3 linked regions of the Oryctolagus cuniculus genome follow. The protein of the gene in region 1 purifies or fractionates together with the protein of each later gene. This does not show direct contact. Links are inferred from orthologs where the notes say so. Each region holds a gene or a part of one and is shown on either strand. Other genes may lie near its edges. The genes, in order: RPP14, POP5 and RPP40.

What was found.
Region 2: the proteins of RPP14 (region 1) and POP5 purify together in Homo sapiens (co-immunoprecipitation; 3 studies listed by BioGRID and IntAct, with this or other methods). This does not show direct contact. The link is inferred for Oryctolagus cuniculus from reciprocal best matches to the Homo sapiens genes RPP14 and POP5.
Region 3: the proteins of RPP14 (region 1) and RPP40 purify together in Homo sapiens (co-immunoprecipitation; 3 studies listed by BioGRID and IntAct, with this or other methods). This does not show direct contact. The link is inferred for Oryctolagus cuniculus from reciprocal best matches to the Homo sapiens genes RPP14 and RPP40.

What each region holds. Positions count from the first base shown.
Region 1 is NC_091441.1:91,668,935-91,678,767, forward strand, and holds the end of RPP14 (ribonuclease P protein subunit p14), read right to left. Parts: intron 7,354-9,833; 5' UTR 7,333-7,353; coding exon 7,256-7,332; intron 7,140-7,255; coding exon 7,055-7,139; intron 4,408-7,054; coding exon 4,331-4,407; intron 3,879-4,330; coding exon 3,800-3,878; intron 3,310-3,799; coding exon 3,253-3,309; 3' UTR 3,151-3,252; coding exon of another isoform or gene 2,644-3,150; 3' UTR 1,111-2,643; downstream 1-1,110. Other genes in the region: HTD2 (hydroxyacyl-thioester dehydratase type 2, mitochondrial), read right to left, coding at 2,644-3,150. UniProt on the Homo sapiens protein: Component of ribonuclease P, a ribonucleoprotein complex that generates mature tRNA molecules by cleaving their 5'-ends.
Region 2 is NC_091452.1:16,597,212-16,607,853, forward strand, and holds POP5 (ribonuclease P/MRP protein subunit POP5), read right to left. Parts: upstream 5,694-10,642; 5' UTR 5,566-5,693; coding exon 5,546-5,565; intron 5,460-5,545; coding exon 5,317-5,459; intron 3,778-5,316; coding exon 3,628-3,777; intron 3,479-3,627; coding exon 3,395-3,478; intron 3,294-3,394; coding exon 3,175-3,293; 3' UTR 2,953-3,174; downstream 1-2,952. UniProt on the Homo sapiens protein: Component of ribonuclease P, a protein complex that generates mature tRNA molecules by cleaving their 5'-ends. Also a component of the MRP ribonuclease complex, which cleaves pre-rRNA sequences.
Region 3 is NC_091436.1:165,366,917-165,377,507, reverse strand, and holds the start of RPP40 (ribonuclease P protein subunit p40), read right to left. Parts: upstream 6,959-10,591; 5' UTR 6,906-6,958; coding exon 6,783-6,905; intron 5,497-6,782; coding exon 5,352-5,496; intron 4,067-5,351; coding exon 3,998-4,066; intron 1,758-3,997; coding exon 1,662-1,757; intron 339-1,661; coding exon 213-338; intron 1-212. UniProt on the Homo sapiens protein: Component of ribonuclease P, a ribonucleoprotein complex that generates mature tRNA molecules by cleaving their 5'-ends. Also a component of the MRP ribonuclease complex, which cleaves pre-rRNA sequences.

The sequences.
Region 1 (9,833 bases):
AATATCCACTGTCAACTTAGAAAACGGGTGGGGAGGTGAGAGGCACAGATGAAAGCCATCCAGTAATAGTATATATGAAAAGCATTGGCTGGCGCCGTGGCTCAATAGGCTAATCCTCCGCCTTGCGGCGCCGGCACACCGGGTTCTAGTCCTGATCGGGGCGCCGGATTCTGGCCCGGTTGCCCCTCTTCCAGGCCAGCTCTCTGCTGTGGCCAGGGAGTACAGTGGAGGATGGCCCAAGTGCTTGGGCCCTGCACCCCATGGGAGACCAGGAGAAGCACCTGGCTCCTGCCTTCGGATTGGTGCGGCGCCGGCTGCGGTGGCCACTGGAGGGTGAACCAATGGCAAAAAGGAAGACCTTTCTCTCTCTCTCTCTCTCACTCTCCACGTTAAAAATAAATAAAAATAAAAATAAAAACTTCAAATTTCAGATACTTAAAAAAAAAAAGGCACAAGGAGAGCAAGAAATAAGATCTAGAATGTTCTGAATGTATCAATTCTACAGAATGATTCCAATTAATTGCTTTTAATGCCACATAACAAGGCACCATTATAGAACATGACAGCGCTCCAGTAACGGAAACATTTTAAGATCCACAGGGTGATGGCAAAAGAATGGCTTGGAAGCCAGGCAAGGCCTTGCTGGAACCCCCAACTCTACCACTATTAGGGGCACAACCCTGGGTAAGTCACACAGCATCATTCTAACTCCATGCCTATACAACAGGACACTAACTTCACAGAGCTGTTTCAAGGATTAGCATCAATGCAGAGAACTGGCTCCCTGGGTGAGGAAAACCACCCACTCCGAGTATTGATGTTGTGATCACCCCCCCTCCACCTGTGGACTCCATGATTCTAAGGCTGCTGCCAGGCCCAAGGAACAGGCTCCCCAGGAGCAAGCGGTCCCGGTCTGGAGTTCTGTCTTCTTTTGTTACTGTAACATTCTTGGCACATCTAGTGGTTTACCTATAAATGTCTTCTTCAGGAGCACCTGAGCCTGCACGAGCTGCCCATTCCGGGACTCACAACAGCACCCTGGCTCCTCACGTTGACTTGAGCATTTTGTTCCCACCTTCATAAACTGCAGCATGGAATAGCATTATACAGTTTTTTCTTAAAAAATAAAGTATTTATTTGTGACAGAGTTACAGAGAGGGAGGGACAAAAAATCTTGCATCCACTGGTGCACACCCTAAATGGCCATGGCCAGGGCTGGGCTAGGCCGAAGCCAGCAGCTTCATCCAGGTCTCCCACATGGGTGCAGGGGCTCAAATATTTGGGCTATCTTCTGCTGTTTTCCCAGGTGCATTAGCAGGGAGCTGGACTGGAAGTGGAGCTGCTGGGACTCAAACCAGCGCCTATATGGGATGTCGGTGCTACAGGCAGCAGCTTAACTCGCTATGCCACAGTGACGAGCTCAGTTTTAAAGTATTCACTTTATATGCATCCCTGCCCTCTAGTGAATAGAATGATTACTTCTAGTAATCAATTCAACTGCTCCCCTTTTTGTAAAAAAAAAAAAACTCCAAAATTGAAAAATCTACTTTACCACCAGCAGGAATAAAATCTCTATCCCAGGAAATCTGACAGAACCAACCAGTTACACCTGATCACCTTAATCAAAACATCTAGCAGCAGAGTTAGCATCTGAAGGCTGTACAGGTGGGCCACCTGGAGGGTGCTGTAGGCTCTCATCTTAAAAGCATTGGCGGTGTTGGTGCTAAGCACTTGATATTAACCCATCAGGTGCGTTTCCCCTTCAGTATCCCCAAACTCTTAAGAATTTTGCATTTGTGGCCTTCATCATATTTTTCTTAACTTCTTCTTTTCTTTACAACAGGCATATACTTATACAACAGGAAACACAGGCACATTTTTAAGGGCAAAAATCTGGACTCCTAAAATGAAAACTCTGCATTGATTATCTGCCCAGAGTACTAACAGAGACTGCCTATCACCCTCAAAGACTGGCCTGTTATGTGCTCCACTGTAAGCAGGGCCGACCTCACCCCCAGGTCAGCCCCACGTCTACCTCTCTGTGTCCATCCTCTCCCACGTTAACCCCAACGTGGTGTGTGTCCCTACCCCTTAATAAATCAGGCAGCTTTTACAACCAAGTCCAAGTCCGCACATGAACCCTTCTGCAGTAACAGGAAACCTGAAAGGTGGGTCCCACTGAAGGTGGACAGGAAGTCGTCTTGTTGTGAACAGTCACATTTATGAACTCTGACCCCAAAATGACTGAAAGCCAGGGCCCAGGAATACTTCTGGTAAAGAGTACATGTTCAGAAATGACCCACCTCCTATTACTGCATGCCACTAGCGACGTCTGTGAGAAACTCCTGCACAGACAAGGGCACACTCGTGCTAACAAACGCACGTCTGGGTTTGAAATTCACAAAGCTGAGCCTTAGATGAATAACCTTCCCGGGAGTTTTTCAGTTTGCAAGTCTCGGCAGGTGATGGATTGGGGCACAGACTCTGGCCTGTGGCACTTGTGGCCAAGCTGGAAAGCGCACATTCGAACACCCCTCCCCTAACACAGGCCACCCCCGGGGAAGAGAGACAGTCCCTGTTAAGCCAGGTGCTTTTTAATAACTGCAGCTCTTGGGTGTGAACTTGCACCTTTGCACACCTACTTCAGGATCTGGGAGCTTCTGGGACCATGACTTTCACCAAGCCTTCCATAACGGTCTTTTTACTTTCTACTACACGACACGACACTGCAACGACAGCAATGAACCGCTTCAGTTTCTTCACTTCCGCCGACGCCAAAACAACTTCTCCGACATATAAAGGCGCTGGAAAGTGAATTTCCTGGGAAAGAAACACACAGCCGGGCCCTGGCATCTTTGTGCCCAGGAGCGCTGAGATGAGTCCAGTGATCAACACCCCATGCACAATCGCCTTCCCAAACCTGGTGTGCTTCGCAAACTCTTCGTTTACGTGCAAAGGATTGACGTCTCCCGTTAATTCCGAGAAGGCAGCCACGTCGCTCTGAGTGAAAGCCCTGCTCAGTTCAGCCCGGTCTCCAACTCGGATGTGCACGCACTCGCAGCGCTGCCCGCTCAGCACAGGGCGACTCAGGCAGACGCTCCGCCGCAGCTGACCCCACCAAAGGCGACAGCTGCAGATCACGGGGAACATCTTCAGCACCCACAGTGGCTCTTGGCTTGCTTCTGCCTTCAGGTGCTAGGTGGGCGCCAAAGAATATTCTGACAGCAGAAGAAGGTGTCTGCACTTGACATTTCAATCCAACACGAGCTCCCTACTATTACCAGATAACGCAAGGAGAAATGGAGAAACCTACAAGACAGACAAAGGGTTAACACAGCCTCGTGAGGAGACGGCACTCACAGGGTAAACAAAGCCGAGGCAGGGCGCTGTCACGGGCATCCTCAGCTACACAAGTGGTCAGAAGCTCAGACACAACAGACCACCACCTAGCACACGAGGCATCAGCATTAAAGGAAACATGAAGCCTTTATCACAAGAGTCCGAATCTATCCCCGACCCTCTCCCCTTTCCCATGTCACTGCAGGACTCTGTGCTTCTTCCTAGCCAGATGGCGGTAACCAGCCCAGTTTTGTTCGAGCTCAAGAAGGAAGCACACGAGGACACCTCAGAAAGCCAGTGGGGAATGAGTGCGATGCAGAAGCTGGGCATGCATTTCAAAACGTCTTGCACCTAAATCAACCTTTTTCTTTTTCTATACACTTTTTGAAGTTCCCTCACACACGCTGAAAAGCAGCTCACCGCCACGCAGCCTTGTAGGGTACGTGAGGGGATGGTTTACCTGAATCACTCGGAAAGCACACTTGTTGCCTTTATAGGATCCTAACATGGTCAGAGAGCTCCACAATTTGACAAAACCACTGCAGAAAGATCAAGGAAACATAAATAAAGCTCTGTCCCCACATTACCTCCCCAGCACTTCTGTCTGCGTGGCCCCTCCAATGGCTGCTTTCTTACTAGAAAGCCTCATTTAAATAAATCAACAACCCCTACCAACCCAAAATAAAAAGCATAATGTGTCACAGAGAATCATTGAACCTCCAGTAAGACTGTTTCTAAAATGCACATTTCTGACTTTGTAGTCATCCCAGCAAACGAGAAGCCCTCTAACTATTACCAAATCCCACATTCCTCTCTACAGACGGTCAGCAGCTGGCCGTGAACGTTCATATCCACTCCAGTTCAAACTCCCAGAAGTTGCTCAGAACACACAACCACGTTCTTCTCATTCTCAGAAGAAAGCATCTTTGCTCTACCTCCCCACCAGCCTTCCTGCCCTGTTAGACCAGAAATGCCCCACTAGCTGCCGTACCTGTTACATACTCTCAAGATGGCCTTCAAGGTCTTCTCTTCGTAGGTGAGGACGTCGAAGGGCAGGGCGGCACCAACCTACATATGAGGGGACGCTATCAGCAGACTATTATCATCATTACTCTTCAACTCTAACAACTAACCCTGTCCATTCTTTGAGTCTTTCTCCTCTACAACAAACACCAATCTTTAAAAAAAAAAAGGAAGTATTTTAGGTATCTGAAAGAGTTACAGGGACAGAGAAGGAAGGAGAGGGAGAGCTCCCATTGGCTGGTTTACTCCCCAGGTGGCTGTTACAGTTAAGGAAGCCAGGAGCTTCTTCCAGGTCTGCCACAGGGGTGACAGGGACCCAAATAATTGAGCCACCTTTGAAAAGCAGCATTGTATTCAGTGGTGCTGGCACTGAGTTGTCTTACCGCTCCCCTGCCTAGAATGCTCCTCTCAAACCTCTTCATGTGCTGATGCCTCCTCACCTTGGTTTAACCTGCTCTTCCCAGATCCTCACCATGAGGCTCAATCTGCTCGCTGTGCTCTTCCCCCACTGGACACCACTCTTCCTCCTCCGCCTCCTCCTCACTGTCAGTGCTGGACACGTTTTCCTATCTCAGAACCATGAGCACTAGACTGTGAGGCAGAGGTCACATCTGTTTACAGGTATAGATCCAGGAATCAGGTTTCATACCTGACATAGAAGGTGCACAGGTTTTAAAAAATTTATCTAGAAAAATTATAGACTCAGGGAATATTACGGAGGAATGTACAAGGAGGTTCCAAGCACCCTTCACCTCACCTCCCCACAATGTCAGGGTCTTGTATGACCACAGCACAGTCTCAAAACCAGGAAAATGGTACTGGTACAATACAGATTCAATTCATACTGTACCAGTTATACACAGACTTGTATTTGCTAGTTGTATGTAGTTCACAGGTAGCTTCATGTAACTACCACCACAATTAGGACAAAAAAACTGAACCTTTCAAGATCCCCTCACTCCAACCCCTTTATAGCCACACCTCGTGGCCCCCCCCCCCCCACTCTGTCCCTAAACTCTGGCAACCACTGATCTTTCTCCAAATCATATGATGATGCTATTTCAAGAGTGTATAATATTCCAGGATAACTTTCTTAACTCAGCATCATTCTCTGGAAATTCAAGCTGTGTGCATCAACAGTTAATCCTTTTTTACCACTGAGTATACTTCACAGTAGGACTGTGCCATAGTTCATTCATTCATCCACTGCAGGACAGCCGAGGTGTGTCTAGGTTTTGGAACATCTGCACATACAAGCTGCACTGCTCCAGAGTAAGTGCGCAGGAGTGCTCTGTCGGGGCTGGGAGGTAGGTGCTTGCTCAGTTTTCTCCAGAAGCTGCTAAAGCACACAGCGGAGCAGCTGCAGTTCACATGAGGGACCCAATTTCTCTGCTTCCTTGTCAGCATTTAGTATTACTGCTTTTTCTACTTCATTCATTCTGCCAGGTACACACTGATTTCGCATTGTGTTTTTATCATGCATTTCCTTAATAGGTAAGGTTAAACATCTTTTCAGCTGCTTTTGCCAAATGCACATCCTCTTTAGTGAGATGTCTTTTCATGGTTTTTGTTCACTTTCTAGTTTGACTGTTAGGTTATTTACTATTAAGTTTTTGTTGTTGTTGTTTAAAGATTTATTTATTTGAAAGGCAGAGTGACAGAAGGAGACAGAGTGAGAGACTTTGCATCTGCTAGTTCACTCCCCAATGCCTGCAACAGCCGGAGCTGGACAGGACAATGTCAGGAGTCAGGAACTTCATCCGGGTTTCCCACACTGTAGCACGGGACCAAGTACTTCAGCCATCATCTGCTTCCTCCCAGGCGCGCTAGAGGGAGCCTGATGGGAAGCAGGGCGGGACTAGATCTCAGGCCCTTGCATATGGGATGCAAGCGTCCTAAGCAGCAGATCAACACACCACACTGTAACATCCACACCTACTATGAAGTCTTCAGAGCTCTTTCTACATTCTAGATTTGAGTCCTTTGCTGGATATGTGCTTTGTAAACACAAGGGAAGTTCAAAAAGTTCATGGAAAATGCCTATTATGGACAAACCATGCATGGATTTCAAAATTTTTTGCACCAAAATAAACTTATCTATTAACACCACTTTTCTGTCTGTAATTTGTGTTTTCACCCTCTTAGCAAGGTTTTTTACAGAGCACAAGTTTTATATTTTCTAAGGAACTTAGCAAATTTTGATACAATACATGAACCAGGAAGTAGTTTGCTGAGAATCCTGTCTTGTCTTCTCGCTTAGCTTTCAGATTTCTATTTCTGTTCTCAACTGAATGCTAAGACAAGCTGACCAGGTGCTGGTCTGTGAGAATGAACAGCAACTGCATGTTTCGTTTACTCGCACCTTCTTACAAGCTTTCTCATCAACGGAAGTAGCATGCTGGTTCTGGTGTGAACTCCTATCTTGAAGACTGGCAAACAAATAAACCTAACAGATTGCAGGCTGTCAAGTTGGGACCATACCTTGAGTATCTCTGAGCTGGAACACAACATCTGTCTAACAAGATCCTTGTCAAATAGAAGGCACATTAGAACAAACCTGCTCCAAATTCTTGATTTCTAAGTCAGCTTCTGCGATTCCAAATCCAGTTTTAAAATAACATTTGGAAAGTGTTCTTTCTGTATTTCTTACAAAGAAACGTCAGACTGTCCACTGCATCTAGTGACTCCCTACCTCCCCAAACAGCTCCTGCAGGGCTGAGACAAGCAGCTGCTTGAACTGTGCAGCGTTCAGTCCAATTCCGTGTTCTTCAAATTCTCTGCAAGGAATATTACAAAGAAAAAAAGAAAGAGGGAGACATCATTATGTTAAATTTTATGCTGCTCAAGTCTATTAAAAAGTAATTTAAAATAGAACTTAGGAGACTGAACTCACAGGCAGACTTTCATGTAGTGGTAGTCGGAGGGATCTATGCGCATTATTCTTTGAGACCAGCTCTCTTCGAATTCCATCCTTTCCAATGCTGATCACACCTACAGCAAGTCAAGAGGGATGGAGATTACCAAGACATGTGCTCTTGGGGCCAGCATCGTGGTATAGCTGGTTAAGCTGCCACCTGCAATGCCAGCATCCCATATTGGAGCACCAGTTTGAACCCCAGCAACCCTGTTTCTGATCCAGGTTCCTGCTAATGCGCCTGGGAAAGGAGCAGAGGATGGCTAAAGTGCTTGGGCCTCTGCTACTCCTGGCTCCTGCCCAGCCCAGCCCTGGCTGTTGCAGCAATTCGGGGTGGAGCAAATCAACAGCTAAGAGCTCTCTTTGTCTCTCCCCTCTTCTCCATCACTCTGCCTCCAAATAAATAACCTTTAAAAATTAAAATGCTATTTTTCACACTTTTAATAAGAATATGACTTATTTTAAAGTGACTTCTTAGGACAGCAACTTATCTAATTCTGGTCAAATGCAGGTCACCCCACAGATACAAGGAAGCTGCTATATTGTTCAATATGCCAGACCACTGCCCTCACTTCCACCTCAGTAACAAGCCAGCTCCCATTTCTCCTTACTAAGCACCCAGTGTGCACTACGCACTGCACATGCCTTAGCTTCTGCGCCTTCAAAGCGATTTTATGAGGCAGACACTATTACCACCCTCATGGCTAGCGCCTGGCCCAGGCTCTACCTACTCTGCCATGGCAAGACTGCCCTGGAATGGTGCCTCTGGATCCAGAGGAAAAAAATGAAAACATAAAGGAGCCAAACCTGAGACCTGCGGGCCCCTTTCTGGTTTACTCTGAGTCAGCCCAGAGCACGAACAAGCAGCTGGCTGCCCCCCTTCCAGGTGAACCTGCTCTCGGTCCAGGGTCAGGTCTGGGCAGGACCACCTGGCAGCTCCGTGAGAGACTGAGGAATTCCTGGAATGGGCACTCAGAGCCATTGCTGAGGTCTGGGCCTTCCGAGAACTCAGAGCACGCTCGAGGCCCGCAGAGTGCTGCCCTCCAGTTCCTCTTCCCCCGGCCTCCCCCTCGAGCCCTTCTGCCGCCCTCTCGGGAATGCTCACGTTATAGGACGTCTTGACACTGCTTGTTTGCTTAGTATCTGGGCTCCCCGCTGCCGAGACCCAGAAACTGAGGCCCAAGCACAGAGAAGAACTAAGCCAAGGTCACAGAGATCCAGACGAGCATTTTCAAAACCTCTCAGGTTCAGGCCCATTTCCAGACGAAGAGCCCAGAGACAAGCACAAGCCGGACGGCAGGAGCTCCATCCACACATCCATTCAACAGACCTCAGCATTTTCTGTGTCTGGCTTGGAGGACACAGAGCTCAGAGAACGGCGGCAGCGGGGGACCCTATGTTCAACTGCGCCTCTGGCTTCAGGACAGCACAGTGACCGTCCACCTGCCCCCAGAGCCCCGCCTAACCAGAAGCGCAAAAACAGCAAAAATCGCATCTACTTCTTTCAGTGCCTGGCACATGACAGGTGCTTTCTCAAGTATTTCCAAGTGCTTCGAAGGAGTTGCTGACCCTGGGCATTTGGGAGATGGATACCGATGGTGGCTGCCCAACAGTCAGAATGCACTTAATGCCACCTAACTGCACACAACAATGGATCAGGCCAGCGCCGCGGCTCACTAGGCTAATCCTCCGCCTTGCGGCGCCGGCACACCGGGTTCTAGTCCCGGTCGGGGCGCCGGATTCTGTCCCGGTTGCCCCTCTTCCAGGCCAGCTCTCTGCTGTGGCCCGGGAGTGCAGTGGAGGATGGCCCAGGTGCTTGGGCCCTGCACCCCATGGGAGACCAGGAAAAGCACCTGGCTCCTGGCTTTGGATCAGCGCGGTGCGCCGGCCGCAGCGCGCCAGCCATGGTGGCCATTGGAGGGTGAACCAATGGCAAAGGAAGACCTTTCTCTCTGTCTCTCTCTCTCACTGTCCACTCTGCCTGTCAAAAAATAAAAATAAATAAAAAAAAAACAATGGATCAAACGATGTTTTACCTTACACATATATTACCAAAAAAAAAAGAAACAAACAAACAAAACAAAACACCTCTCCAAACTCATGGAACACATGAGCTCGCCAAAAACCGGACTCCTCAGTGACACCAGCGCCCTCTGCAGGCTGTTCTGAAAGTAAAGATGAGCCTGGCACGGCCCCCAGGCCCGCCACCAAACGGAAGCACGCCTGGAGTCACGGTCCACTTCCCCTCTGAAGCCAGCCTTCTCAGGGGCGGCAGGGAAGCCTAGAAACTGCTCTGTCGGTACCAAGGGTCTCCGATTCCGCCCCTGTGCCCCTCCCCCGCAGCCACAGAATCTACCAGACCCCACTCTCCGGATCTGTCTAGAGCGAGGCCAGACTCCGGGTGCGCCTGCCGGGAGGCCCTTCCCGCACCCCGCACCGCTGCTCCCGCCACGGCCCGCACTCGTCCCTTCCAGCACACGGGCCGCGCACGCACCAGGCTCTCCCGCCAGTTACGCACCGCCCTTCCTCCCGCCGCCTCCTTCTAGGCCTCCCCGAC
Region 2 (10,642 bases), on another chromosome or scaffold:
CTGTGCAGTTCTCCTTGTCATAGAAACAGGGATGGGAATAAAATGGCCTTAGGATACCCAGCTTAAGCTGCAGTTTGATTTTCTTCTGCCAGATGGCCAGGCTGTGGTGCCAGATGTGGGTTGCCAGCTTGATGGCCATTTACATGGTGAAGGAGGGTTAGGAACGCTGCCAGTCTGTAAGGAAGCTCTGAACCTGCCATCCCACAGGTCAAGCTTGTCTGATAGTGGCCTGACTGGTAGGGGCAGGAGTTTGGCTTGGAGAACAGGGCAGGGTGAAGGCAGTAGGTTGTCCACTGTCTTCCTCTTGTCTACAGCAGCTTTCTTATGCCTTGATTTGAGCTGAATTTGAGTGATGTGAATTGTTTTCTGCTTAATAAAATGAACTCTAGGTGTAATAGAATGTGAAGGCAAATAGTTGTAATAAATCACCTGCACAAGCAATGTCAGCTTTTCTGTTTTTTTTTTTTTTTTTTTTTTTTTTTTTTTTTTTTTTAAGTTCATTGCAGGTCAGCCAGACATATTACTTCTTGAAATAGGGTAAAGTAACAGCTACTATGAACTTAGGCAGTTCAGCCATCATGGACTAATGTCTTCTCTGGTATCAGGCCTAAAGGACTTTTTTAAAAAATATATTCCATTTATTTTGAAAGACAGAGTTTCCATCTGCTGGTTTACTGTCAAAATGGCCACAACAGCAGGGGCTGGGCCAGGGTGAAGCCAGAAGCCAGGAGCTGCTTCTCAAAATTCCTGCTGTTTTCCCAGGTATATCAGCAAGGAGCTAGACCAGAAATGGAGCAGCAGGGACATCCCTTGTGGGATGCCAGCCCTGTAGGTGGCAGCTTAACCCACTGCACCTCAGCAGCCCCCCATACACACCAGAAAGCCTCTTGAGCTGGGCCTAACTTTAACCATATAAGAGGTGGCCGGCGCTGTGGCTCACTAGGCTAATCCTCTGCCTTGTGGCGCCGGCACACCAGGTTCTAGTCACGGCCGGGGCGCCGGATTCTGTCCCGGTTGCCCCTCTTCCAGGCCAGCTCTCTGCTCTGGCCAGGGAAGGATGGCCCAAGTGCTTGGGCCCTGCACCCGCATGGGAGACCAGGATAAGCACCTGGCTCCTGCCATTGGATCAGTGTGGTGCGCCGGCCGCAGCGCACCAGCCGCGGTGGCCATTGGAGGGTGAACCAACAGCAAAGGAAGACCTTTCTGTCTCTCACTGTCCACTCTGTCCAAAAAAAAAAAGAATATGAGAAGATAAAGATTTATTTATTTATAAAGATAGATTAGATAGATTTATTTATTTAAGAGAGAGAGACCGTCTTCCATCTGCTGGTTCACTTCACAGATGCCTGCAACAGCCAGGGCTGGGCCAGGCAGGAGGCAGGAACCCAGTGTGGGTCTCCTGTTTGGGTGGCAGGGATCCAGCTGTTTGAGCCAGTCCTGCTCTAGGGTGTGTACCTTAGCAGGAAGCTGGAATCAGCAGTGGAGCTTGCAGTCAAACCCAAGTTCTCTGTGTGATACACCCTAAGCAACACCTTAGCTGCCACACCAAACACCCGCCCCCCTTTTTTTTAAGCCTGAAAGATTAGGGTCACTGCAGCATATCTGAGGTTCTTGTTCCTCACTTCAAAGGTACAGGTGCAACTCTGGTTACTGATAATTCTTCAGTCAGTGACTGTTCATGGGCGTATGACAGAGGATCCAGGAGCTGGATGGGGAAGGCCTGTGAGAAAGGATGTGAAGACTCCTGTGCTCAGCTCCCCAGAAGCTGCTAGCCTGTCATTTTTAAAGGAAATCTCAGGTCAAGGACTCTTGAGGGAGGTTGTGTTCTGGTCCTGAAATTAGAGGACACAGTGAAGCAAAACAGCTTTATGGGGCCAGCGCTGTGGAGTAGTGGGTAAAGCCTCTACTTGCAGCGCCAGCATCCCATATGGGTGCTGGTTCAAGACCCAGCTGTTCCACTTCCGATCCAGCTCTCTGCTATGGCCTGGGAAAACAGAAGAAGATGGACCAAGTCCTTGGACCCCGGTATCCCCGTGGGAGACCTGGAAGAAGCTCCTGGCTTTGGATCAGCGCAGCTCCGGCTGTTGTGGCCAATTGGGGAGTGAACCATTGGATGGAAGACCTCTCTCTTTCTCTGCCTCTCCTTCTCTGTAACTGTGACTTTCAAGTAAAATGAATAAACCTTAAAAAACCCAACTTTGTGACTGAGGGACCTTTGAATGACATCATTTTATTATGGAGAAAACAGCCAAGAAATGTCATGAGGTAGCAGGACAGAGCTGGTTAAAAGTCCTTTGGTCTGATGCCTGTGAGTGTGGCAGTTACCTGTCTTCAGGTGTAAGGAAATAAGAATGGGTGGAACTACAGAAAATTCCCAGCCTGGCAGTGAAGTCAGGTGAGGCCAGCCTATGCCACAAAAGTGCAAAAGCTGCAATTTTTTTTTTTTTTTTTTTTTTTTTCAGAGTCAGCTGCTTAGGTGCTAGCAAGGAATTTGATATTTCTAAGGTATTTGGATCATTACTGAGACTATGGATCTGTACAAGCTGGTTGCTATGTCTCTTCACATTTCTATTCCAAATGAGCTCTTTTATCTAGGGCTACACGTGGAAAGCTAAATATTCAAAATTCATCTGGTGTTGGGGTGTGCCATTTCAAGTCCCAGCTGTTCCACTTCAGTTCTGGCTCCCTACTAATGTGTTCCCTGCACTAGTGTGCAGTGGGGGATACCCCAAGTACTCGGGCCCCTGTCACCCATGCAGAAGACTGGGATGCAGCTCCTGGCTTCTGGTTTTGGCCTGGCTCGCTCTGGCTGTTGAAGCCATTTGGGGAGTCAGTGGATGGGAGATCTTTCTTTGCCTTTCATATCTTTTAAAAATATTTTAATGTAGTGTCACATAGGAGCAGTCTTCCCACCAAAGCCAGGGTAAATGCAAGAGGAGACTTGGCCAAGCATGAAGTGTATAAGCCCTTTTGTTATTATGCTCAATGCTATAGAAACCAAATTAGACAAGTAATTAGATACAAGACTATCCACAAGTGTAGAGCCTTTACAACCCGCAGAACCACTTAACCAGAAACACTCTGTAAAAGCAACTCCAGGGTTTCAGGTGAGTGTGGCCTCCAGTTCACGCTGGAAAATCGAGCCCTGGCTGGCTGCCACCCAGTCTGAGCAGTTCACGACGCCATTGCTTCAGCAGCTTCCTCACCTCCGCTGTCGGAAGCCCCTTCCTCTTCAGATGACTCCTCTAGTAAACAGCTCTTCGCCACTGACTTCTGGATAGCTTCCCGCTCTCCTGGAAAGAGGCAGAGCAGAATAAATGTCTTCGAGCAATCTCTCTGCACGAGGGCAGCCCGCTGGTCACTGCTCAGTGGGCACTGGGCTACTGTTGCTTACCTTCATCAGTGCAGTTCTGTAACAAGATCAACAGCTGTCGCCTGTTGTACTGAATCAGGAACTTCTGACATGTTCTGATTGTACCTGGCACATGAAAGACATGGAGTCAACAGCTTGTGAATGTCTGCTTTACAGACAGAGCTAGGAGGAATTCTCTCTCAGCACGCGAGCAGTCAAGGTAAATGCTGAGTCTGTCACTTAAGATTCAGCAAATGCACTACATGCATGCCTACCTCCCACGTGTAACGTGTTGAAAAAACAAGGGTAACGGTGTCCTTTGCTCTCCAAATACGTGATGAAGGGAAGCGCTGACCACACCAGCCGGTAGAATTCCTTTCGGCATCGAAGCAGCACTATTCCGGTATAAGCATTGAGGTATCGAACTACAGCAGGGGAGAGATCATTTTGGAAAACTTCGGATTCACAGGTGGTTAGAAGCCTTAGGGTAACGGAGCCTGCTTTGTGCCAGGGACTGTTCTAGACAAATGGCACTTGGGATGCATCACTGAGGAAAAACAGACTCCTAAAGAAAAACTTCAGACGAGACCTTCATTTATGGAATGAGGATAACCACCAAGGCCTTGCACATCACTTAGAATTGGTAAATGAATCGAGAATCTAAAATGCTGTTCTATTCAGTGACTTTACTGGGAGGAGGGGGAGATGATGTTTCAGCATGAAAAAAAACCCTTGTCGGGGCCAACCTTGCAGTGTGGCAGGTGAAGCCTGGGACACCAGCATCCCGTATGGACACTGGTTCAAGACCTGGCTGCTTCACCTCCAATCCAGCTCCCTGTTAATGCACCTGGGAAAGCAGAGGAAGATGGCCCAAGTGCTTGGGCCCCTGCACCCATGTCGAAGAAGCTCTAGTTTCATTGCTGCCATTTGGGGAGTGAACCAAGGGATGGAAGAGGTCTCCCTCTCTGACTTTCAAATAAATACATTTTTAAAAACAAAAGCCCTCGTCTGGGGGCCGGCACTGTGGCTCACTTGGTTAATCCTCTGCCTGTGGCGCCAGCATCCCATATGGGTGCCAGTTCTAGTCCCGGTTGCCCCTCTTCCAGGCCAGCTCTCTGCTGTGGCCCGGGAGTCCAGTGGAGGATGGCCCAAGTCCTTGGGCCCTGCACCCGCATGGGAGACCAGGAGGAAGCACCTGGCTCCTGGCTTCGGATGGGTGCAGCGCCGGCCGTGGCAGCCATTTGGGGGTGAACCAACGGAAGGAAGACCTTGCTCTGTCTCTCTCACTTGTCTATAACTCTGTCAAATATATATATTTATAATATATATTATATATAATACACACATATATAATATGTATATATAAAAAAAAGCCCTCGTCTAATAAACGGGCTGTTTTACTGCCGTTGGGCTCTGCAGGCTCCTGTGGCCGCCAGCGGGTCTCACCTGATGGCAAGAGGTCACCTCCGTGCACTTGATTCTCCAGGACCCTATGAGTTCACGGTAAAAGGAACTAAATGCTGGAGTAGTCCGGAGGGCGAACAGCCTTTTTTGGTGCCTGTCTATCCTGCACGGAACTTGTACCCAATCGTGGGCTGTACGTTACTATTAAGGGCTTTTCTGAGGTAATTACGACCTGCTTTTTCCCATGTGATGTCAATGTAATCGGTCAAATAATGGCTCTGCCTAGGAACTATATACGACTTTACTCATTTAACTATGTTAAGTTCACTAACAAGCCCCAATATGCAGACGCCACACAGGGTTTTGCCCGAAGTCCCACTGCCTGCGGGCCCCTGCTTTAGCTCTGCCTAATTTCGGACTCGTGTGGACCTCCCACGACCGAAGGGTGCGCCCGGGCTTGGCCTCTCCAGGGCTCGCTCGTGCCACTTCTTCCTCCCTCCTCCAGCGCCTGCTCCTTCCAAATCCCGCCGTCCGTCCGGGTTGCCCCCGCGCCCTCGCACCTGCGAAACCGATGGAGCAGGCGGCCGCGCCGAAGGTCCCGTGCACCCGGGCGATCGTGTCCCGAATCAGGCCGACCAGTACTCGGTCCTCCAGAGTCAGGCGGCAGCGGGGGTCGTCGGACACCAGTTCGCAGAGCAGGTACCTGCCGCAGGCCACATGGGGGTGAGCGCGCGAGCCGGGGCCGGGGAGACCGGGGGTGGCTCTGAGGGTGCGCAAGGAGCCGCTTACCTGTGCTTGAACCGCACCATGGCTGCCGCGGGGCCCGCCTTCCCGAAGGGCTCACCGGATGTCGGTGTCCTGCGGCCAATGGGAAGTTTGCCTTCGCCACCTTGCAGCCACTCCGAGAGGGAGCCAGGAGAGGAGGGCGGTGCTAGAAAATTGAGAGGCCAAGCTCCGTGTCAGTCTCCCTCAAGCTCCGCCTCCGACGGCCTTTGTAAGAGCGCATGCGTCCTTTTGCCGTCCCGGGAGGTTGTGGTTTGGGGGCTGGACTCGGGGCTGCGATGGGCGGTCCCTCGCGGTTCACAGTGTAGGAGGCGGCCGGCGTCGGGGGCGCCCGGCGCCTGAGGGCGCGGTCACACACGCATTTATACTCCAGGCTGAAGCACAGGGACTGACACACAGCAAATCGGACACTTCAGGTTAGAGCGCGGTTTAATTCTTCCACTCAAATATGCTGTTACTCTTTGGGCCTTTCAACAGTTTTGTGGAGATGGGTGCTTTGTCACCTTTTTTTGTTTGTTTGCAAAAACTGTTGTCATTGTATTTTCCGCTGTAACCGCAGGACTGAGAGAGCCGCTTATCACGTAGTTTCTTCCGTGGTTTCCCCCTGTGCCCGCAGTTCTCCCACGGAATTCCCACTCATTCAGGGAGACTCGGGATTATTAATTATAATAATATTAATAAGTGTAGTAAGATGTCAGTTTGCCTTCTTCACCCTCTCAGAGTAGACCGTAGAGTTTTCCAGAAGCCACATGGTATCTGGCATCGCCGCTCTGAGGGCTGATGAAATCGTCTATTGTGTTTTAAACAGTTTTTAGTTTTAATCTCTGAGGTAGACATTGATAGTTATCAGCGCAAAAACAGACGCGCTTCGGAATCCTCAGTAATTTAAGAGTGTAAAGAGGTCGTGAGGCAGAGAGCGGCTTTTGAGAATTGTGCCCATGTGAAGTGGTGTTTTTCCTTTTATTTTCTTTGTAAGCATCGTGGGTCATACTGTCAAGCACTTTTTCCTTTTCACTTGAATATTTTTAAATTTCTCTCTTGTTGGCGCCGGCTGTGGTGCAGTGGGTTAAAGCCCTGGGCTGAAGCACTGGCATCCCATATTGGTGCTGGTTCATGTCCTGGCTGCTCCACTTCCGATCCAGCTCTCTGCTATGGCCTGGGAAAGCAGTGGAAGATGACCCAAGTGCTTGGGCCCCTGCACCCACATGGGAGACCTGGAAGAAGCTCCTGGCTTCGGATCGGCGGAGCTCCAGCTGTTGTGGTCATCTGAGGAGTGAACCATTGGATGGAAGACCTCTATCTGTCTCTACCTCTCTCTGTAACTCTGTCTTTCAAATAAATAAAATAAATCTTTAAATAAAAATCTATTCCTCGCTGAGGATGGAGCAAGGCTGAGAAATTGTTTTCCCCATGAATCTTAAAAAAAAAAAAAAAATTGGAAGTATAGCACCTCTCAGCGAATTCCTAGAGACTCGTGTACCTGTCACCCACATTCCGGTGGAGAAAGCATTTCCAGAACCTGAGACGTTTCCCCGAGTCCCAGTCAGAACTCTTACCAGAAACAGCCACTGTTCCGACTTCCACCAGGACCAGTTAGTTTTGCCTGTGGGTGAACTTCCAATAAATCTACAGCATGTTTTCTTTTGTGTCTGATTTCTTTAACTCAGTAATTAAAAGATTCTTTTTTTTTTTTTTTTTTTTTTTTTGACAAGCAGAGTAAGATAGTGAGAGAGACAGAAAAGTCTTCTTTCCGTTGGTTCACTCCCCAAGTGGCTACTCCGGCCGGCGCGCTGCGCTGATCCGAAGCCAGGAGCCAGGTGCTTCCTCCTGGTCTCCCATGGGGTGCAGGGCCCAAGGACTAGGGCCATCCTCCACTGCACTCCCTGGCCACAGCAGAGAGCTGGCCTGGAAGAGGGGCAACCGGGACAGAATTCGGCGCCCCGACCGGGACTAGAACCTGGTGTGCTGGTGCCGCAGGCGGAGGAATAGCCTTTTTTTGTAAAATTAATTAATTTATTTGGAAGGCAGAGCTTGAGAGAGAGAGAGAGGTCTTCATCTGCTGGTTCACTCCCCAAATGGCTGCAATGGCTGGAGCCAGGCTTGTCTGAAGCCAGGAGCCAGGAGCTGCTTCCTGATCTCCCAAGTCGGTGCAGGGGTCCAAGCACTTGGACCGTCTTCCACTGCTTTCCCAGGGGCATTAGCAGGGAGCTGGAAGGGAAGTGGAGCAGCTGGGACTCGAACCGGCGCCCACAAGGGATGCCGGCCTCACAGTGTTGGATCTGGTGCTGTACCCACGAGGGCACAACGCCGGCCATCAGTATCCTGTTGATGGCTGTATAAATTACTTCCAGGTTTTCTCGTAGACTCAATGCTTTGATGCATGCCTTGGAGCTAGGTCACTGATGCCCATGCCCTTGGCTGGCCCTGCGAGGTCCATGAGGGGAAGCACCTTTCACAGCCGACTATTTGCCAGGTCTAGAAGGAGTTCTTAGCCTTCCCATCTCCCACTCTTGTCACCTTAAAGGAGGGAAGCTGAGGGAGGGAGGGAGGAGGCGTGCCCCGCGCCTCACCCGGAAACATCGTCTTGCGGCCCGCAGAGGGCGTCGGAGGCCCGCAGTGCGTGGACCCCGCAGGACCAGCCTCAAAGCACTCCTGAAGTTTTCAGCCTGTCAATCCTAGCGACGCGCGCATTTTGTAGACACAGTTGGGATTCAGACCACGGTCACGAGTGGGCGTCAAGGAGCAGGTTCGGGACTCGAACCCACAGCCATCCGACTCGAGCGCTGGCTGATGTCGTCTGCACGGTAGGACCGCCGCGGGTTCGAATCCCTACCAGGAGTCCTCAGGGAGGTTGAGCCGCTCCTCCAGGCCTCAGTTTCCTCGTCTGTGCAATAGGATAATAAAGGTTCCTCCGACTGGAAATGACCAGGAAATGGGAGTTAAGCACCTGGCCCAGGGAGCGCGCGGTAAGCACTCTGTTCCGAACGAACGATTGACTCCTCGGGCTCACGCACAGCCCCGGAGGAAACACTGCGGCCCTGGCAGCCAGCTCCCGCGGTAATTAGCCCGCGCCGGCGCGGGCTCAGGCTCCGCCAGCCGCTAATTACACGTCTCCTAATGAGGCCGGCGGCTGCTGGCAATCACCGGGGTCCCCGCCGCGCGCCGCGCGGGAGGCCGCGGGGGAATCCGCCCGCGGAGGCGTGGAGGGGCGGCTGCGTGCTCCGTGCCGCCCCCGGAACGCCAATGCCACGGGGCTGAGATTATCCCGCCTCAGTGCCGGCGCGGCCTGGGCCTCGGGAGGTGAATGGAGCGGAGTCCGGTGGGCTCCAGGCCGATGCCGGCTGTGTGTGACCCGTGAGCAGGTGCCCTTCGCGGGTTCACATCCACTGAGGATCTGTGGGAAAGTCGCTGTTTTAGTGTCATCATTACAAGTGCTCTTTGAAAATTTTAAACTCCCATTTGCTAGTTCCTCCTCAAATGCCTACAGCAGGTCCCAGACCCCTGTGGAACTCAATCCAAGTCTCCTACCTGTGCCGCAGGAGCCTTGACTGCTGGGGCCTTCACTGCTGCCCCCCCCCCCCCCAGGGTCTGTGTAAGAAGCTGAAGTCGGAAGTTGGAGCCGGGAATCAAACCCAGGTCCTTCCAGGTGGGACATGGGCACCTTCGCTGCTCAGCTAACCACCTGCCACCTGCACCTGCACCTGCACCTGCACTTGTTCCTCTGGGACTTGGCAGAGGGGTAGATCCTAGACCAGAACCGATGATCAGATAAATAGACGCCTCTGGGGCTTGGGAAACTTCCTTTTAGTTCCTGCCCCTCCCCCCCAGCTGAGGGTTCCACTCTGTTTGCCCAGTCCTATCCCACAAGAAATTGAAACGTTAGTGTCAGCATGGCCCTTAAACCTTGGAAGCTCAACTCAAACGACCCATTTCACAGCTGGGAAGTCTGCAGCATTCCCTGGGAGGTGGTAGGGGCAGCTGCTAAAATGTTCCCGTTAGCATTATTCCTTGGGCCTTGGGGGAGGGTGCCATCCTTATCTCTTGGGCTGCTGTTTATTGGGCTGTCACCACATGCCAGCCACTGCCCTGGGCACACTGTGTTTGACTTCCTTTCACCCGCACAGCCCTGTGGAGATAGATCTTATTCTCTGAGGCCTGGAGACAGAATGGACTTGCCCAAAGTCCCACAGTAATGGGGGCCGACTTCTGTCTTATCCAAAGATCTGTGCTCTTAGCTCTTAGCTCTTTGCTCTCTGCACCGCATCGTGGGAAGTCCAGAGCCCAGAAGGGTGTTTGAGGAGGGAGAACCCTAGGGGGGAGCTGTTCCCAGGCCCCTTTGGCGTCTGTGGAGTGAGTCCTTCCTGAGTCGACGATGCTGTGCTGTGTAGGGGCAAAGGGAGATTGGATCTGCTTCAGTGTTTTGTTAAGCAGCCACTTCTTATTAGGGGCTCCTGCTCCTCTAATCCTATCAACCAATTTCCTGTAAAAGCCTTACAGGGACAGTCTAGATGAAATTAAGCCCTCCATCTGCTTGGCCATGGGCCTGGGGAGCCACCACATCCTCCAGGCCCCTGAGACAGACACAACCTGGGTCTCACTCCTCCCGCGTCCTTGGTGCCTTAGGAACCTGGCCTCCTGTCCTTGTCTGCAGTGAGGATTCGTCCATCTAAGAATTAGCTTAGAGTTCAAGGTCACGACTGCTGGGCCTAGCAATTTCTCCAGCAGGAATTACTCCCACAGAGGTGCTGGCCCTTAGGCAGGTGAATGAGGATGCATGGTGCGGCAACGTTGGTGATAGCGAAAGGCTGCCTGGTGTCTCTGGGGAAGGGTCCACTCCGTGGGTGTTTTATATTGGACACTTATGTGCCAGAGAATGTCCTAAAGACTTTGCATAGAGTGACTCATCCAGTCTTCACCATGACCCTGTAAAGAAGATACTTGATTTTATTCGCCCTACGTTACAGATGAGGACACGGAGGTTCGGAAGACACAAGTCACTCACCAAAGTTTCCTCTAGCTAGACGAGCAGGCCGGGATGTGTGCGTGTGTGTGTGTTTTAAGATTTATTTATTTGAAAGGCAGAGTTAGGGAGGGAAAGATTTA
Region 3 (10,591 bases), on another chromosome or scaffold:
CAGGGATGGTTACACACATGTATGACAGAACCCTGACCACAGGGATGGTTACACACATGTATGACAGAACCCTGACCACAGGGATAGTTACACACATGTATATGACAGAACCCTGACCACAGGGATGAACCACCATTCACTCCCATTATTCCTCTGTACCTAACAATTAGACTTCAAACTCACCGCACTGTCGTGTTATTTATTCTTCATACCTGTATTGTGCCAAGCGAAAAGAAAATTGAACTTCAGGGGCTTCTTTTCTTTGAAGGACCAAGATGTTCTCTTATACTTCTTAGAATTCAGGTTAAAGGATAACTCCATCAAATCAACGGAAACGACTTTAAAAATGCAAGAAGGAATACACATTTTATGCATACATATACATCACATACAGCCTGCACTGCAGACAAGTGTTGTATTCTGTAAATCAGAAATTTTAAAAATATCACAGATAGTGAAAATTATTTTGTTCTTGTACTCTCTGGGTTTAGCCAATCAAAGCGATCCCTTTACCAGGCATTTCCAGCACTGAGAGCTAGTCACAACCCTGGTCTAAGTTCCTATCTTCTCTAGGGCAGAGACCAAGGGCAGAGCGGGCATCTGGCCTGGCAGTAAGACGCTGAGATGCTCACGTCCCATCGTGGGTTCAGTATCCAGCTCCACTCCTGACTCCAGCTTCCTGCTAACGCAGCGCCCAGGCGGCAGTGAGGATGGCTCGACTAACTGAGTTCCTGCCATTCCACGGAGGAGATGCATGTGGGGTTCCTAGCTCCTGGCTTTGGCCCCGAAGCTGTTCTGGGCATTTGGGAAGTCAATGGGGCCTCTCTTTTTCTTTCAATAAATAAAAAAATAAAGAACAGGGCAGGGGTCCTTGGGAGGGCCGCTATAATCCACCTATGGACACAGTGGCCTTCTCTACTGATGCCCAGCCCAGACACTGACAGCAGAACATGTCTTCACTCACGGATTCCTATTAGGAATCATAAAGACTTGGGGAAAAAAAAAGTCAAAGGAAATTCTTTATTAAGAAGTAGTTTTAGGGGCCAGCACTGTGGCGTAGGGGTAAAGCCACCACCTGCAGTGCCAGCATCCCATATGGGCACTGGTTCAAATTCCCACTGTTCTACTTCCAATCCAGCTCCCTACTAGTGTGTCTGGGAAAGCAGTGGAAGGTGGTCCAAATCCTTAGACCCCTGCACCCACATGGGAGACCTGGAGGAGGTCCCTGGCTCCGGAGCAGCCCAGCTCCAGCCACTGCAGCCCTTTGCGAACCAGAGGATGGAAGATCTCTCTCTCTCTCTCTCTCTCTCTCTCTCTCTCTCTGCCTCTCTGCGACTCTGCCTTTCAAATAAATAAATAAATCTTAGGCAAAAAAAAGTTTTAGACTCTTACTTTGGGTTCATTACTTTGAATTTTTGACACAAAGCATACATATCTAATGAAATAGTCCAATTATATGTTCTTTATAAAATGCAGTCTACAACTGAAGAGAGAGATTTAACAGCACAATTTTATCCTTTGCTAAGTTCAATTGGTTGAGACAAGGAAAATCCCTATGTTTCTGAACAAAGAGATGAGAGGCAATTCTAACATTTAAAATTAAATGGTCACAGGAAGGTAACTAACTTGTTGGAAACTGATAGGGCACAAATCATACTTACTAAATCTCATACTTTTTCTGCCAGAATACTTAGATGGATGACCTTCAAGTCCAGTTTCTTCATAAGTGTCTTTATCCAGGGATAAAATTAATTTTCCTACAAATCAAATAATACCCATAAAGTAGACACTAAAAATTCGACGCAGGGTTCTGACTACACAAGTAAGCAAGCCAGCCAAACTGAACAGCTAGCATACAATTACCACATCCATGTAATAAACTGCATACAAAGACCTAATTTTTAAGGCTATGACTTATATATACACACATCTTATTACAGAATACTACTTACATATTAAAGAGACAATGCTGTTACTTATAACAGTGAACCTAGAGATAATCCAAATTTCTATTAAAGAAAGAATAAACAAATCAAGACCCACTTGGTCTTTTGAATACATTCAGGACAATAAAAACAGTAAGTCAGAGCTGCAGTCACGGCCCAGACCATGACATTTTGGTCAATGAGGAACCGCATATTCGAAGGTGGGTCCTCTACAATTATAATGGAGCTGGAAAACACCTATCACACAGTTGCACTGCACCACACACACTCCTCACATGTCTCTGGTGATGCTGGTGTAAACGCGTCTAGTGCAGAGCACAGACAATTCCGTACAGTGCACCACACTTAATGATAAACTAGTTACCGGTTAGTGTATTTACTACACTATTCTTATTAAGTATACGCTTGAATACACACACAAAAAAAATGGGGGACTGGCATTGTGGTGCAGCTGGTTAAGCCAGCACCTACAACGCCAGCATTCCATGTGAATGCCAGTTCAAGTCCTGGCTACTCCCCTCCCCGCCCTGCTTTTTTTATAGAGTGCCTGGTTTTAGTCCCGGAGACTCCATTTCTTCTTCTCCTTTTTTTTTTTTTTTTTCTTCCCTTAAAAGATTTATTTGAAAGGCAGAGTTACAGCAGGGCAGAGAGGGAGAGGAAGGGGGAGGGGGAGTGAACAATCAGAAGATCTCTCTTTCTCTTTGCCTCTCACTCTGCCTTTCAAACGAATAAATAAACCTTTTAAAAAAAAAAAAAGTTTAGGGGTCGGCGTTGTGGCATAATGGGCAAAACTGCTGCCTACCAATGCTGGCATCCCATCCAGCTGCCAGTTCATGCCTGACCTACTCCACTTCCAAACCAGCTCACTGTTAACAGCCTGGGAAAAGTAGAAGATGGCCCGTGTACTTGGGCCCCTGCCACCCATGCAGGAGACCTGGATGAAGCTCCTGGCTCTTGGCTCCTGGCTTTGGCCTGGCCTAGTGCTGGCCATTGTGGCCACTGAGGGAGTCAATCAGTGGACGGAAAATCTTTCTGTGTCTCTCCCCCTCTCTCTGTAACTCTTTCAAATAAATGGATACATTTTATAAATATTTAAAAGGTTGCTATAAAACTGGGCGGGTATTGTGGCACAGTGGGATAAGCTGCTGCTTAGGACACCAGCATCCCATAGCACAGTGCCTGGGATCAGGTCTTGGCTCCTCCACTTCTGATCCAATTTCCTGACTGTATCCTGGAGGCAGCAGAAGATGCCCAAATCCTGGATCAGAGCGCCAGTCTGATTCAAGGCCCCCTGCTCTGCTTCTGATCCAGTTTCCGGCTAACACACCTGGGAAGGAGCAGATATGGCTCAAGTACTTAGGCCCCAGCCACCCTCGTGGTAGAGTCAGAGGGAACTGTAGCCTTCTTCTGGCTTTGGCCTGCCGGGCCCTGTAGGTTGTGGGCATCTAGGGAATGAATCCGCATATAGAAGATTCTCTCACTCTGGTTTTCAAGTAGATGAAACTAAGTAAACGGTAACAAACACACACACACACCAAGTCTGCCACGCTGCGCTGACAGCAGCCTCGTACACCTGGAGCCTGCCCTGCCTCTTGATCCCATCACCTTCCTTGTGCTTGGTTTGATTTCATCACGGCCCTGGGAACCACCGGCTACCCCGTACAGCTAGGTGTGTAGCAGGCTGTATCATCTAGGCTTGTGTACCTACACTCAATGGTTTCCATACAACCACAAAATCTCCTATTGATGCCTTTCTCAGAACACAGCCTTGCTGTTAAGCAATGCATGACTGTATGTGCGCTGATACAGAAAGTGTCTACGCTAGGTACTTCATACTGAAGTAGTATGATGGAATTTACATTATAAACCTTCTTTGTGCGTTTATAAACTCACTGAAAATGTCTGGGAGGGAAAACAGCAAGTTATTCACAATTTCCTATAAGAAGCAGGTGAGTCTGGAAGGAGGAGTTAAAAGGTGGTGACCTCATGTTTTCTAAACATTATGCATTTCTCTTATAATTAGAAAAAGAAAGAAAAATCAGTATTGTTACCATTTGGTAGCAAGGCGACAGTATTATCTTCGTCAATGTTTGTGTTGTATGTTAGTGCATAGCACGAACCTGTACGAGAGAAGTCCAAAGAAGAGATTAAGACAGCAGAAAAAAAAAAAAGAAAGAAACCACATCTGCATAATATTAGTGGATTATTTTCAGGTGATAACAATCTTCCACGCAAATAACAGTCAGTACCTGTCACCGTTCCAGCTCACTCAATAAGGCCAGCACCTGCAAAGGGTAACCTGGGACGTACAGAAGGCCAGCCTCCAGCCGGTTCACTCTGCCACCAAGGGCCCATTTGTGCAAGTCCCCTATTATCAATCAACAAACGAACTCAGCCTGGAACACGCGCCCTGGGGATGCAGGCGGAGAGCGACAGGTAGACACAGGTCAACGTACACACCTCAAGGCGGCGTTCCGACTTACACTCAAAAGCTCTTCCACTTCCCCACGCCTCAGCTCCCCAGGCCTACTTCATAGAGTCGTTGCGAGGGCTAAATTAATAGGCTACTGAAAAGTGCCTGCGAATGTCCACGCTGTTAACAAAACAACTTCAGACCAAAGACGAAGGCCCCGGCTTCACAAGCAGCCCCGCAGTGTCCGGCGGGGAGGCTATGAGCACGGGACTTCTCGCCAGCTCGCCTGAGAGCGCACCACGGGCCCTACAGCAGGACAAGTGCGTGGCCAGGGTGCGGCGGTCACGAGAGCAGAGTGGGCTCCCTAAAGGTTCCATCAACACGGCCTCACATGGATGGCTCCCAGGAGACAACTGCAACAAACCAGGCAGCCTGGCTGAGGCGAGGTGCGCAGAGCGGGAGGGCCCCGCGTCTAAGCACTCAGCTCCGGGAAGGGCAGCTGCGCCGCATCAGGAGAGTGGGCCGCGTCTTCGCAGCCACCCCCCAACAGCAGGACCCCGATCGCAGACCTCCCTCCTCCATCAACTCCTGCTTTACCATGAGGGGTACCCCACGTTCAACATCCGCACCCAACACGTGTGGGCAGGTCTAATCAGAAATCCCCACGGAAAGAGGGCACACCAGAGAGGAGGGTGACAACCCCGCGGAGTGGGGGTAGTAATGCACGCCCTTCGACACACAGGTTACCCCCACAGGGCCTGCCTGGGACAAGAGGAACCCAGTATTGTGACAGTCTCCTTGGACAACCACGCCTTGTCCCAATGTCAGCAATGAGCCATGCACATAGTAGTCCCATGAGAGCCAGTCTCCTGGCTACATCACTGCTGTCTTAGTCTGCATAAGGACACCATGCAGCTTCCACAACAAAACCGCCCCCGGCCACCTTCTAGAACACACCCCTGCCTGCTCACACGTTGTGCGGTTTTTCATACCTTTCTTCACAAAGGTGTTGATGAATTCAGGTGTGATGAATTCATGCAGAGGTAAATTCTTCACAAGATAATAGGGCCCGAGCTCCGTGACCAGGCTCTTCAGTTCCTTTGGTAGCAAGGCACATTCCGGAATGAGAAACGAAACCTAGTGGGACACGTACAAACTCCGTCTCACTTTCACCACCAACAGCCAGGTGTTCGGCAAGGAGGTGAGAGCGTCAAAGTGGCTGCTTCTCCAGTTTTTACTGGAATACATACACGGAGGTGGCGGAACGCCAAGCTCACCTACTGATTTCAAGCACAGAACCTTGACAAGTCAAGCTTTGCATTTCTGCATGCAAACAGAGTGAAGACACGAAGCAGAAAAAAAAAAAAATCTTTTTAAATTGTTATTTGGTGACTGGCGCTGTGGCAACAGAAGGTTGAACCTGCCCTGCCGGCACCGGCATCCCATGCGGGCGCGGGTTCTACTCCCGGCTGCTCCACTTCCCATCCAGCTCCCTGCTAAGGCACCTGGGAAAGCAGCGGAAGCTGGCCCAGTTGCTTGGGCCCCTGCACCCACGTGGGAGGCCCGGAGGAAGCTCCTGGCTCCTGGCTGGCCCAGCCCTGCCCTGGCCACCGAACCAGCAGATGGAAGATCTCTCCCTCTCTCTCTCTGCATTTCTGCCTTCCAAATATTTTTTTTTAAATCTTATTTGAAAGGGAGAAAGAGAGAAATCTCCCATCTGCTGGTTCACTCTCCAAATGCCTGCAACCGAAGCCAGAGCCAGCAATGCTATCCAGGTCTCCCATGCGGGTGGCAGGAAGCCCATCGCCTGAGCCACCTCTCCTCCTCTCGGGGTCTGCATCAGCGGGCAGCTGGAGTCAGGAGAGGGCTGACCATCGAACCCAGTCACTTCCACGTGGGCGCGGGTGTAGACGCCAGCCGTAACTCTTCACCACGGAAGGCTAGTTCTGTGGGGTGTCTGCGGCTAGGAAAGCAGAGAGCTCCCCGGGCCTGGGCACGGCACAATGCTCGGGGAAGGCCCCCAGGCACAGGCGGGTGCGGGACTCAGCACCACAGGGAGCCGGTGCGGAGGACGCCGCGCGAAGGGAAGAGTTCCAAGCGGCCGTGGCCAACCACCCCAGGCCCGCACACCCCTCTCTCCGTCCCAGAGCGGAGAGCCCAGGACACGAGGCACTAGCCGGCGGCGCTCCGGGAAACAGCGAGAGGCGCACCCACCGCTCAATCCCTCAACAGCGGTGGGCACGGCGCACCGCATCCTGGGAGTTGTAGTCCTCCAGCCCTGAGAGCTAAGAGTCCGGGGCCGAGAAGAGACTACAATTCCCATCATGCCGCCGCCTGCCCCGCACGCCCACGACGGTCCCGCCATAGCGAAATCTGAGCGCGGCTGCTTCGGAACTCTGGACCGCCCGCGGAGACGAACTCACCTTGTAATTATAATAGTGCGTCTCCACGAAATGCCGGTGGCGGGGCCTTGGATCGTGGAAACTCGACATCACGCAGGATAGGAAGTGCTGCGGCGTCTCTCGCAGCCGGCGCAGCGTGGCCATGCTCCCGCCTGTTGCTGCCGCTCCAGAGCTCCGCCCCTTCCTTTTATGCCCCGCCCCTTCCTTTTATGCCCCCGCCCCACCCGCGGGCATGCGCAGTGCGGCTCGGCAGCTGCCCGGCGGGACGGCGCTTCTCGCAGCGGTCTCCGGGCCGGTTCCGTGAGGAACCTCCGCTGACGCTCCTTGGCGCGCGGCGTCTGACACCGTGAACCCACCGCCTCCGATGCGGAGACGACGCCTCGGCGGCCGCTGACCGGCCCCGGGCGGCCTCAGAGCGCGGTGGCCAGCCGCGGACCCCAGTGGCCGCGTCAGGGAGGACCGCCTGGACCCTCGCTTTCCCCCGCGACGGTCGCGGCTCTGAGGGGTCACCACCCGGGCCTTTCGGGTGCGCGCCGGGGTCTGCGCTGCTGCGAGCTGCTCGGGCTTGGGGGTGCGCAGCAGTCGGACGTGGGTTGAACGGCGTCCGCGAATATCGGTTTTGTGGTGACAGGATGAGGAAGAAACGGGGGGCAGGGGGTTTGCAAGGTAAGCATTGGAAGTGTAACACAGGCTGGAGAGGCGTCTGCATTAAACACAGCGATCTTGGGGCCCGGTGTTGCGGCACGGTAGGTTCTGCCCCCGTGACGCCGGCATCCCGTGTGCAGGTTCGAGTCCCGCTCCCGCTCCCGCTCCCTGCTAGTGCCCCTGGGAAAGCAGCGGGAGATGGCCCAAGGGCTTGGGCGCCTGCATCCGCTTCGCAAATTGGGATGGGAGTTCTGGGATCCTGGGTGCTGCCTGGCCCAGCCCTGGCCTTGGCGGCCGTTTGAGGAATGACCCAGCAAATGGAAGGAATCTGGCATTCTCTGCCTCTCAAATAAATAAATATTAAAAAAAAAAAAAACACCTCAGTAATCTGCCTGAAATGCCAGACTTAGTAAAAAAAAATACTAGTGAAAACCTATGTCTTATTATTTTATATGGGAAAATTAACAAAGCATAGGAAATCCATCAACAGCTCAAAATCACAATGTGGCACCAAGGTGTAAGCGGCAGACATGATGGGACGTGCAGTGCTCGAAACACTGCGACTGTCACTTCACAGACGGTGTGGTGGTTCATGAGCCGTGGCCGGGTGTGGTGGTTCATGAGCCGTGGCCCGGTGTGGTGGTTCATGAGCCATGGCCGGGTGTGGTGGTTCATGAGCCGTGGCCGGGTGTGGTGGTTCATGAGCCATGGCCCGTGTGGTGGTTCATGAGCCGTGGCCGGGTGTGGCGGTTCATGAGCCGTGGCCCGGTGTGGCGGTTCATGAGCCGTGGCCGGGTGTGGTGGTTCATGAGCAGTGGCCCGGTGTGGTGGTTCATGAGCCGTGGCCCGGTATGCCACAGCAGATATGTGCATCTTCGTGATACTCCAGAGCCCTGTAAAGTGACTGGTATGATTCTGATGCCAATTGTGTTTGGAGTCAACGTAAAACATTTCCAGTAAAACATTTAGCATAAGATGACCCTCTTCTTTGAAGGCCCCCAGGAAATCTTATCTATGTGAATATCAACTACATTTTTTAAATTTATTTATTTATTTATTTATTTTGACAGGCATAGTGGACAGTGAGAGAGAGAGACAGAGAGAAAGGTCTTCCTTTGCCGTTGGTTCACCCTCCAATGGCCACTGCGGCCGGTGCACCGCACTGATCTGATGGCAGGAGCCAGGTACTTGTCCTGGTCTCCCATGGGGTGCAGGGCCCAAGCACTTGGGCCATCCTCCACTGCACTCCCTGGCCACAGCAGAGAGCTGGCCTGGAAGAGGGGCAACCGGGACAGAATCCGGCGCCCCGACCGGGACTAGAACCCGGTGTGCCGGCACCGCAAGGCGGAGGATTAGCCTACTGAGCCGCGGCGCCGGCCCAATAGCAACTACATTGAGAGCTGAACAGCTGCTAGGCAGTTTGGGTATTAAAACCCAAGCGGTTCCTCCACAGAAGTGTTCATCGTGGAAGCCTGTAATGTGAAGTAAATGGCGAAAGTCTCACTCATGTTACAGATTTAAAGATGGAAGTTCTAATGCCAAGTGCATGTGTGGCTAAGGACTCCTCTCAGGCCACAGCCCCCGAGTTCTGGAACTGTTTATAATGGTCCCCTGCCCGTGTTAGCACACAGACACGCCTTAGCGTGCACTCAACGGACAGCCTTTACCCCAGATTCTTTCTTTACCATTTTGTTCCTCTCTCCTTCCGTGAGCTCATTCCTCTCTGGCCTTCCTCCCTACCACGTCAGGGAAAGGCCTCTGTGAGGGTCAGCAGTGAGCGCCACGTTGCTGAGCACTCTGTCCCTGACTCAATCTGTTAATTGTTTTTGATGCCGATGGCACAGTTGAGCACTTCTCACTCTTGAAACCTTTCCTGTGGATCTCCACTCTCCTGGATCCCCTCCTCGTCCCGATCTCTAGTCCCCAGCCCCTTTCCTTCCTTCCAATTTTTACTTTTGTTTGTTTATTTGTTTGAAAGGCAGACAGAAATGTCCAGTGTGCTGGTTCTCCCCACAAAAACCTGCAGCATGCCCCTGCCAGAAACCTAGAAGTCAGCCTCGGTCTCCCTGCTGGGTGGCAGGGACCCAAATGCTTTGACTGTCACCAACTCCCTTCCTGGGTGCGCATCAGCAGGAAGCTGGAATTGGGGCAGAGCTGGGACTGGAACCCAGGCACTCCAGTATAGGATTCGGGCATCTGACCTTTAAGGCCCAATGCCTGTCCCCCCACTTATCCATCTTGTATATCTCAGTTCAGAGTCTCACAGCTTTAGGACCAGCTCTCTCCAGCCTCTTTCCTGAGAGGAGCCCCAGGAAGCCACCCCGAATCTCTTCTTCCTGCCTGACCCCATACACAGCCCCACAGCAGATCCTGTTAACTCTGCCAGCAGCATAAGTCCTAACTGCAGCCTCTTCTTGCCGTCTCCATTGCTGCAACCAGTTCGAACCACCTTCCTCTTACTGGTCTACCTGCCGAGAGAGCATTCTAACCACCTCCTGCTTCCTCTCTTGTTCTCCTACAGTCCATTTTTTACTGAGCTTCCAGTGATCTCTTGAAAATATGAAAAACATGACATATGCCCCACCATCCCAATTTAAATCCCTCACCACTGGCCTCTCACTGTCTCAGAATAAAATCTTAGACAGCAGGGCCAGTGCTGTGGCACAATGGGTTAACACCCTGGCCTGAAGCACAGGCATCCCATATGGGTGCCAGTTCTAGTCCCGGCTGCTCCTCTTCTGATCCAGCTCTCTACTGTGGCTGGGAAAGCAGTAGAAGATGGCCCAAGTCCTTGGGCCCCTGCATCCACGTGGGAGACCTGGAAGAAGATCCTGGCTTCTGGCTTCAGATCCGCACAGCTCCGGCCGTTGTGGCCATCTGGGAAGTGAACTATCGGATGCTCTCTCTCTCTGCCTCTCCTCTCTCTGTGTAACTCTGACTTTCGAATAAATAAATAAATCTTTAAAAAAAATTAAAAAAAAAATCTTAGCCTGGCTCCCTGCCTGCCTCATCCTCATCTCCTCCCCTTGTTCATACTGTGTATGTCAGATTACCTGATCTCTAGAGCAGAAAGCAATCTGAACTGAAAGATATTAATATCATATCATAGAATCTAGAGCATGGGGCATAGATGGAAAAGTTTTAAGAGGGAATGAAGGGCCAAAAATCAATAAATCACACACACA